Linked DNA regions of Coturnix japonica. The protein of the gene in region 1 interacts with the protein of each later gene in a biochemical or structural test. Links are inferred from orthologs where the notes say so. Each region holds a gene or a part of one and is shown in the gene's direction. Other genes may lie near its edges.

Region 1 (4,564 bases):
GATAATCTTAAATAGGTTGTTATAACAGAATATGTTTCCAGCCAAGGTGTCCAAGAACTTTTCACAGCAAGTATATTTCATGAGGCTAACCATTCTTCTCGGTTACGACAACCTGCTCACAGGAGGCAGAGTACATCGCCTTATATGCTTTGAACTGACTATTCACTGTTTATCCTTAGGTGTATAAAAAGTGAGGGAGAAATTGAAAAGCTTCAGTCCAAACTTGTAGAAATGAAGAAAAAGCTGGACAATACTACTGCTGCAATGCAGGAACTAGGCCGAGAAAACCAGTCATTACAGGTATAACTTCATTTTAAGCATTTAAACCTGTTGATTCTGTCTGTGGGGCTTGTGAGAAACAAAGTTTGCATTGCATTCATGGTGGGTTACCTTTCCACAGGGATTAAGGTGTTCCTGTGGTAGTATTACTTTCTGTAGGTTAACTCTATTCAGGGTTTTCTTTTGGAGAAAACATGAGTGTTATGGCAGAACTGACGTTTTTACTGCCTAGTATGTGCAGTGAAATTAAACAAATTAGGAGGAATTAGATATGCATTTTGATTTGTGTTATTTTTGTAAATTTAAATAGATCAAACACACTCAAGCTCTCAACAGGAAATGGGCAGAAGACAATGAGGTGCAGAATTGTATGGCCTGCGGAAAAGGCTTTTCAGTGACTGTGAGAAGGGTAAGTGTGTTTTCCTGTGTTTCTGGGGGGGAGGGGGGGGGTGTTCTTTTTTTCTGTTGCTTTCAAACTATTTTATATTTAATACACTTTAGAAAATGGCTTTAAATTGTAGTGATATTTGAGATGTCTCAGAGTACGGGTGCTGTTTATGATGCCTTAAATACTAAAGGTAATGTTTGTGGGGCTTATTGTATTCATGCTTGCCATTTTAACAGCATTAGTTTATAAATAGTGTTAAAGATTTCAGTCCCCAAAAATGACAGTAGTTACAGTAAACTTTCTTATAACCAGTCTGGACTGGATTTACAAGTGAAAAAGTAATGTGAATTTGTTAAAATTGGATATGTGTGAAAGTATGAGACATCAACATAGAGTGGAGCTTTGTGACTGTATCTTTGTAAGCACTAGCTAAACTCAACAGAACAGAAGAAACAACTGTCTGTGCTTTAGGTCTGTAAAACAGTTGTTGTCAGGTAGGATCTTAGCACCCCTTCATTGGTGGGGGTCAGCCCTTCATCCAGAGATTATTATCTCTCCACCAAGTGACCTGGCAGTGAAGTAGGTGAGGGATATTCATAAGGTTCATTTTGCAGTGCTTCCTGACTTCTTGTTAGGTTGTTCTCCCTGTCCTATGTTATTTGGTGTCATGTCTTTTGGGTAGTCTTTGAACAAAGGTGGCTGGATTGTTTTATTCAAGGGTACTTACCTAATGTGGAAGCAGGAACATGTTTTTTGCAACCAAAAAAAGTTAAAGAGGAGGAAATAATAAGGAGAATTATTTACAACCTGTTCCATTCTGAAACTAGAATAGACAGCACTCAGTGAAGCAGCATGTCTAATGATTTTGCTCCTATGTCCCTTAGTAAGGACTTATGCTATGCTCTTCTATGTAGATATAAGCTCAGGGTGTGATGGAACTACTGTTTAAAAATCCAAACTTCTGAAACACAAGAGAGTTGAGTTGACATGATAATGATCTCCCTTAATGATCTGTGCCCACAGCACTGTAATCAATATTCACAGTATATGTTTGTTTTCTCTTTCACAGCATCACTGTAGACAGTGTGGAAATATCTTTTGTGCTGAGTGCTCAGCAAAGAATGCCTTAACTCCTTCTTCTAAGAAGCCTGTCCGGGTCTGTGATACTTGCTTTAATGACTTGCAAGGATAACTGGTGTGAGTGACAAAGAAATGTTACACTAAAATTTATTATTTCTGTTGATGCACTTCATTCAGCACTCAGACTACTACTCAGTTTGGACAATGATTGTAACACTTGGCAAAATTTAGTATATTTTAAAATGTTTATTGATACCAAGTAAAACTATTGTATTTTTTGTGAGATATGGGCTCAGATCACCCAAGCTTATTGCCGTCTATCCTGGAAAGAGCTTCTATGTCTAGAAATTAGATTAGAAATACCCGGTTATTTGTAAATAAAGTTTAAACAGAGGAGTAACAATGTATTTTTTTATCTTTATTTTTTTTTTTTCAAGAGAAAATGCGTTTATGTGATATTGCAGTTTATTCTTGTTTCCTTCAATGAAAAAGGAAGATGCAAAAACTTGTGAGGATTTTGTGTATCAAATGTTGCTGTAATAGCATAACTCGTTGCATTTGATTGTGTATCTGATGGTCTTTATAACCCCTTGTGTTTTTATTTTCTTTCTCTCTGGTTTTTGGACTTTTCTCTTTAAAGTTCGAACTCCACATTGAGGGGACATGGCTGGACGTAACTCTCAGTTTTACTTGCTCACTTAGAACTTGTAGTATCAGCACCTGAGTTCTTACCCAACTACAGGACTTGGATACTGGAATATCTTTATGCATACTGTACTGCATAATTTGTGTGTGTATGTGTGCGTGCGTATGTATGAACAAGTGATGAGACCAAGTTTAGTGGGCATTGTAGGAACATTACGTGAAGCTCTCCCACGTGGACTGATTTCACTTTTACATATTTGATGAATTGATTTTAATATCCCAGAAACCCTTTATATGCAGGATTTCAAAAACAGACAGTGCAGATAGTAGCCTGTAGCTCATCTGTCACCATGCCATAGTCTGGGAGCTCCAAGGAGTCCTTGTGGTTCTGAGGCATGTCCTGAAATTCCACAACTAGGAATTCTACTAAGAAAAACTCTCCTCAGGGGAGGTGCTGCATTTGAGCTGAACGTTTCTCCTGTCTCTTACTTCAGCTTTTGATGGAAGAAGCTGAACAGCTGGTACTCCTAAGAGACCTCATTTTTCCATTGTTTCGTCTGTCCCCTGTTGCTGAGGGTTCTTAAATTGTATGCTAGTCCTATGATTTAGTCTGCTTAGAATGGTGATGCAAATCTCCTGGTGCTGGCTTAGCTTTAAGCCAAACAGCTCTAAGTAAGCAGGTCAATATATACAGTTTTAGATCATAGATTCATTGAATTGCTTGGGCTAAAGGGGCCTTTAAAGATAACTACTCCAACCCCCTTGCAATGGACACTAAACCAGGTTACTCAGAGTCTCATCTGACCTAACTTTGAACATTTCCTCTGATGGGGCAGCCAAAGCTTCTCTGGGCAATCTCTTCTGGTGTCTCACCACCCTGTGTTTGTTCTGATTTTATTCTTCTGTATTAGCAACAGAGGTTTCCTGATGCGTTCATGTAAATTCTAAATCTTTTTATTGTGCTTTTATCTACCCTTGTGTTTTTTTCTTGCCCGTGTCTAACTTTGAATCTCTTTGAAGTAAGTATCCAGTGTTTGGCCTCAGAATTGTTATTATTTCTTCTGAGCTAAGGTTATATGTTCTCATACTTAGAGCCCCTTTGTCTAGAATGCTGTAATAAATTCCTTACAACCCAAGCCATTCTCTGTCCTAAAAAACTGTGCTGGCTGTTCAGAGATAAGGAATATGGCCTCAGTTCCTCTACTGCTGCCTCCCAAGGTAAAGAAGAAGGTTCTGTTACAGTGGTGGACAGTTAGCCATCTTTAGGTAGGTTTGTTTACTTTTGTGTGCTGACAGGCCTGTATGTGAATGAAGAGGAGACTTTTGTGACAAATGTATAGCCCTGACTCTCAAATGAAAAGGCTTCTTAATCATTCATCCCCAGTAGTGATCTGTGTTTCATATCCTAACTACCTAGTTAGGTAGATTGCATCCTCACCTCAACAATTCTTTCTCAGTAAGTTTTCTTACTTCCCAGAAGCCAGCTGAGTTATTTAACTGGTTCTCACAACTATAGAAGGGCTTGGAGTAAAAGCATGATAACATGAAATACTTTTCAACTTTTCTAGTTTGAACTCGAGAGTTGCCTGCTTGAAAGAAACCATTGCTGCAATGACTCTGTGTGAACAGACATTCTGGACTTGCTGCATCACCTTGTTGCAACTGCTCAAAATAATAATTCTTGGAATAGAAAGTAAGAGCAGAACTTTGCTTCTGGTAATTTCTTCTATCTATTTATTGGCTGAGGGAATCCAGAAGGTTTGCTTTCAAGCCTTTTATTTGTCTGACAAGTGACTTCAGAACTCTGGCAAAGGTGATGAGATTGGATTCTTGCTCCAGCCTAGGTCTGGTTGTGAAGCAGATGGAACCTAGTGCTGCTTTCAGGGTAAAGGACAACCACATTAAGCAGAAGGGATTTTAAGAATGAAGGGGGAAGCCTCTCACAGCTGTACCGAGGACAAAATGTATGTGGTAGATGAAGATGGAAATCTCTCAAGGGAGCGGGGGAAGTGGTTAAAAGATTCACTTGTGTTCAGATGTTTTACTTTTGTATGGGGATGTTTGAAACATGAGGAGATGGCTCTACAGTAAGGAGAAAATAGTAGGAGATGGCTCTACAGTAAGGAGAAAATAGTAGAAGTTCTAATGGCATTGCTCCTGATTTAATCTTTT
Region 2 (4,693 bases), on another chromosome or scaffold:
GCAGGGTGGTGGACGGGATCGAAGACGACGGGGGGACCCGGGACGCGCGAACCTCCTGCTTCGGAGCGGCCCCTCGGCTGCGGGGCGGGTCCAGGGGCTCCCCGCCACCAGGTACGGCCGCGCCAAATGGCGGAGCGGGGAACGAGGGGATCCCGGCGACGTGCGCTGTCTGCCCGGCAGGGACTGCGGAGCGCGGCCCGGCGCTGCTGGCGGAGGTGGAGGCGGCGGAGCGCAGCATCGTGCGGCTGAGCCGGGAGGTGCGGGGCCGCCCGGGAGCGCGGGGCTCCCCCGTCCCGTCGGGGCTCACGCCGCTTTCCGTCCCCGTTGCAGATCGCCCACCTCAACCGCGAGGTTTCGCAGCTCAGCCGGGAGCTGCAGCGGGTGCTGGAGCTGCTCCAGGGCCGCCCGCCGCCCCCCGCGTGCCCCCGTCGCCCGCCCGGAGCCTCCTCGCCGCCCTCCCGGCCCCCGCCGGCCCCCGCCGCCTCCCGGGGCTCCTCCCCCGCCTGCAGCTGCGCTCCCGCCCGCAGTCGCTCCGTTCCCGCTCCGTCCGGTGCCCCGGGGCTGGGCTCGGAGGCTCCGCACCCTCCGTCCCCCGCCGCTCCCCAGCCCGCACCGCGCCCGTCCCGCCCCGTCCCTCAGTCCCCGACGCCTCCGCCCGCGGTTCCGCCCCGTTCCGCCCACTCGTTCCCGGGCTGCTCCGCCCGCGTCCGCCCGCAGCCCCGCTCCGGTTCGTCCAGCTGAGACGCGGCGGGACCCCCCGGCTCCGGATTCGCCTCGAGCGGCCGGTGCCGGGTTTGTTCGATGCCGGTTTTGACACTCGTCGCATTACGGGGCTTCATATAAACCCGCCCCGGGGCCGCTCATCCCTCGGGCCGCTGTTGGGCGCCGGCCGCCCCCGGGCGATGCGGGGCTGGGGGGAACCGGGACCGGAACCGGAACCGGCACCGTGCGGGACCAGCTGCCCCGCGCTGTTCTTCGGCCGCTCCGCGCTGAGACGGACGGAACGGGAAATAAATGAGCGATTTGTGCAGCTCCGGGCTGCGCTGCTGCTGGGGGCGATTGGGGGCAGATTTTGGGCTGTTTTGGGGCAGATTTGGGGGCACTAAAGGGGTTTGGGGAGGTTTGGCGGGTGTTGTGTTGGGATGTGGCCGAGCTGCTCGGGGGGCGCTGCGGGGACACCCGGGGACTACAATTCCCATGGTGCTCTGCGAAAGACACGCATTACGTAGAGGAGCGCAGATCACGTGACGCAACGCGTCCATCAGGAGGCGGAGACACGAGGAGGCGGGACAAAGATGATTGACAGCCGCAGTTACCAGTGACATGCACGGCAGGAACGGAAGCGGTGGACGGGTCCGGAAGCGGAACGGGTAAAGGCGGAAGTGAGGGCCGGGGCCTGCGAGACGCACCCGCGGCGGGGAGCGGCCCTGCGGGCGGTGAGTGCGGGCGGAGGGTTCGTTGAGCTGCGGGTTGAGCTGAGTGAGGCCGGCGGGGCTCCAGGCCGCTGCTCGGCCCGGCCTGCGGGCGGTGTGTGCGGTGTGTGCTGTCCGTGCTGTCCCGTATCGCTCGGGCCCGGCTCACGGACGGTCCGCCCGGTGGGGATGGATGGGGCGGGGTCGGGGCGGTCGGTCCCCGGCTGCTGCTTGTTGCGGTCGCTCTGTGCTGCGGTGGGTGCAGCGGGTCCTGGGCGCGGCCTGAACGGACAGTGCGGCTTTGTGTGCTGCCAGTAGGTGCTGTAGAGCTCGGACCTGTTGGGTTGATGCTGCTGCTGGGAAGCGCCGTGTGGTGAATCAGGGTATATGCAGCACCCGTGGTAGGAATGGCAGCACCGTGTGTGTTAATGGCAGCACCGTGTGTGTTAATGGCAGCACCGTGTGTGTTAATGGCAGCACCTGACTGTGAGCAGCCTGCACAGGGAGCTGTGGCCCTTCCCTTGTTGCTGTGTGTGGCTGTTGGAGCTCTGACCTTGATGGTTTCCAAATGTGTAAGGAAATGAGAGGACAGAGTGCACTGAGACGCTGTTTTAAGTCTCATATGGAACAAGTTGCATCTACTATTCTTAGTTTTTTGTCTGGGGGCTTTGCAAATGCTCAAGCTGCCCTGCTTATAGAATGACACCTCACGTAGTGCAGTGCTGGAGTCTTGAATGGTGTTTGTAGGCTGCTGCAGGGCAATGTTGGCCTTAATGCCCTCCTGGAATGAGAACAGCAGGTAAAGCTGGAGTCTGTACAGACCTCTAAGGTTAGAAAAGCCATGTTTGGCTTCAGTAATTGTGTCTCAACAGGATGCCCCAACAGTCAAGTGCTTTCATAGCAGGTCAACCTCTACAGGCAGTTTTTCCCACTGAGATACCATAGGCTAATTCAAACTATGTTCATTTTAAGATAAGGGACCTGCACTGCCTGGCACTAGGGCTGTTGAAGTCAGGCTTTAATACCCCATAGGGTGAGGGAGCAAGATAAATGGAAGCCCTGGGGAAGGGAGAGCAGTATGGGGGCAGCTAGCTCAGTAGGTGGATGTGGTCAAGTCAAACACTTACCTGGTTTTACTGTGGACAGACTTGGATTTGGGTCACTTTGCTGTAACAGTGAAGCCAGTGATGGATTGGACACTGTCTGAAACAAAAGCTGAGTAACAGTCTGGTTCTGTGAGCTCAGCCAGACCTCGAGGTGTGGAAGAGCAGTGATGAGAAGTGAAATTGTTGTCATCGCAGCAAAGCTCTGCATGTAAAGGAGGGGTCATCAGCTCAGTCCTGCCGTGAGGTGCTGCATGGTCACCCATTAGATGGTCACGCATCTCCTTAGGTGGGGGAAGAGCAGCGCCAAGTCTTTCCAGACACAGGAAGTAAAATGGAAACGCTTCTAATGAAGTGGGTGTAGCCTGAAGTATTTTGGTCAGCGTGCTTAGAAGAAGGGAATGGCAGAGTCAGCACTTTCCTTCCCCTGGGATATGAAGTTTGAAGTTCTCTTATGCAAGTTCTGTGAAATTGTCAGTAACTATGAACACGTTCCATCTGCCAACCAGAAACAGCACGGCTTCCTGGAAGTGGCGTTATGGGGAATAGTAACGCTCTGTCTTAATTCTGATGTGAATGCTGGCTTCCCCTGAAGCACGGGAACAAACTACTGGAGTAGTCCTACATAAACAGATAAGGAAACACCAGCTTTCATGTTTGCTTTGATATGGTAGCGCTCCAAAAAAGGAGCCACTGGAGGCAGGAGATCTTTGTGCAGACTGGGAAAGATATAATGAAGGTCACCGAGTCTCTTGTGGTGAAGATGGCTGTTTTCTGCTCTGCATTGTTAACAGTCGTGCCTTTTTCAGCAAGGAGCAGGTGCTGTCTATGGGTGAATGCTGCTGGATTTCTGGCCGAAAGGAAGTTGAGCCTTTTGAGAGCGTGCTGCACAGTGCAGTGTATGGAATGGGAGCTGTGGGAACCTTGCCTGCAGGGTTACAAACTTAGGTCAATTTTGAGTTGGTCTGCACAGTATCTGGAGTGTCGTTAACCTGGCAGTGCATCAGCTGCTGGACATAGGGCAGAGTTCTTGCAGTGCTGAGAAGAACTGGATGCAGGCAATACCTGCGGGAGGGGGGTTAACATGGGAGCAGGGGGTTCTGGTACCTGGGATGTGGGACCTTGTTCCATACAGCCAAAGAGAAGCTTATATAAAATGAATCGGTAGAAGTTGTGTGCTGCAATTTATGTCTCTCTAACACTTGCTCGGAAGCTGCCGCCTCTCATCCTGCTGCTTTTAAAGCAGTCTTTACAAGTGTGCTGTTTCCATGGCTTGACTGAAGCTGTACTGGAAGCTCACTTGCTTGGGTCTCCATCGTGCTGATCTGGAACGAGCTCACTTGCTGTGTCAGCAGGTGGGGATGTGGGCCCATGGTCACCTGTAGGTCCAAATGCTTTCCCGAAGCACGAGGAAGGGCAGGAGCACAGCACCTCAGCCTGCCCTAATTGCACGTTTCTCCCTTCAGCCCGTGGTGATCTAATAGCACACTAACTGCAGTTTTGAAAGCAATTAGTCATGCTATTCTGCAGAATTAAAACCCCCGCTGGATTAGGCATGGAGCTTCTTTGTAGTGCCCGTGTGGCCAGTGTGGCAGTAACTCTTGCTGCTTATGCTCATTCAGCTTTAGCATTAAAACCTCTGCCTCCAAAGGTGGTATATAAGTGTAATACCTTTGCATCTCATGAGGTGCTTTCGGGAACTTTTGCTAAGGGATAATTGCTGAACATCTTTGGAGGAGGTTGAGAGACCCTGGTGAAAGGATTGAGGGATATGAGCACCCCGAGGCTCTGTGCCTGAGAACCAGCTGTGTGACAGTGCTGCGTGGGGGGGAGGGAGTAAGGGTTAATCTTTGCTATTGCTTTAACTCAGTGGAACAGCTGCACTGCCCAGCTGGGAATATTAAAGGGGTTTGAGGCGGCTTTCTTAAATGGATTTGAAATCACAGCTTGAGTTTGCTCGTGCTTTGCCCCTGCAGGATGTTTTGTGCGTTCTGCTCAGGAAATGGATGGAGTGCATGTGGCTTAGGATTGCCTGAAGCTTGCAAAAGTTGGAGTGAGATCCTAGAGATGTTGCTTGGGTTCTGAGGTAACTAGTTTCTGTTGTGCATATGGGCTGAGTCACTTGGATGAAGAAAAAGGACAGTTTTCAATAGAAAGTCCTATTCAGAAAAAGGAAAT

Evidence for each region.
Region 2: the proteins of EEA1 (region 1) and RAB5C form a complex in vitro, tested with the Homo sapiens proteins (2 studies listed by BioGRID and IntAct, with this or other methods). The link is inferred for Coturnix japonica from reciprocal best matches to the Homo sapiens genes EEA1 and RAB5C.

Annotation. Positions count from the first base shown.
Region 1 is NC_029516.1:40,649,491-40,654,054, reverse strand, and holds part of EEA1 (early endosome antigen 1), read left to right. Parts: intron 1-179; coding exon 180-300; intron 301-589; coding exon 590-688; intron 689-1,736; coding exon 1,737-1,859; 3' UTR 1,860-4,564. UniProt on the Homo sapiens protein: Binds phospholipid vesicles containing phosphatidylinositol 3-phosphate and participates in endosomal trafficking.
Region 2 is NC_029542.1:4,458,681-4,463,373, reverse strand, and holds the start of RAB5C (ras-related protein Rab-5C), read left to right. Parts: upstream 1-1,295; 5' UTR 1,296-1,436; intron 1,437-4,693. UniProt on the Homo sapiens protein: The small GTPases Rab are key regulators of intracellular membrane trafficking, from the formation of transport vesicles to their fusion with membranes.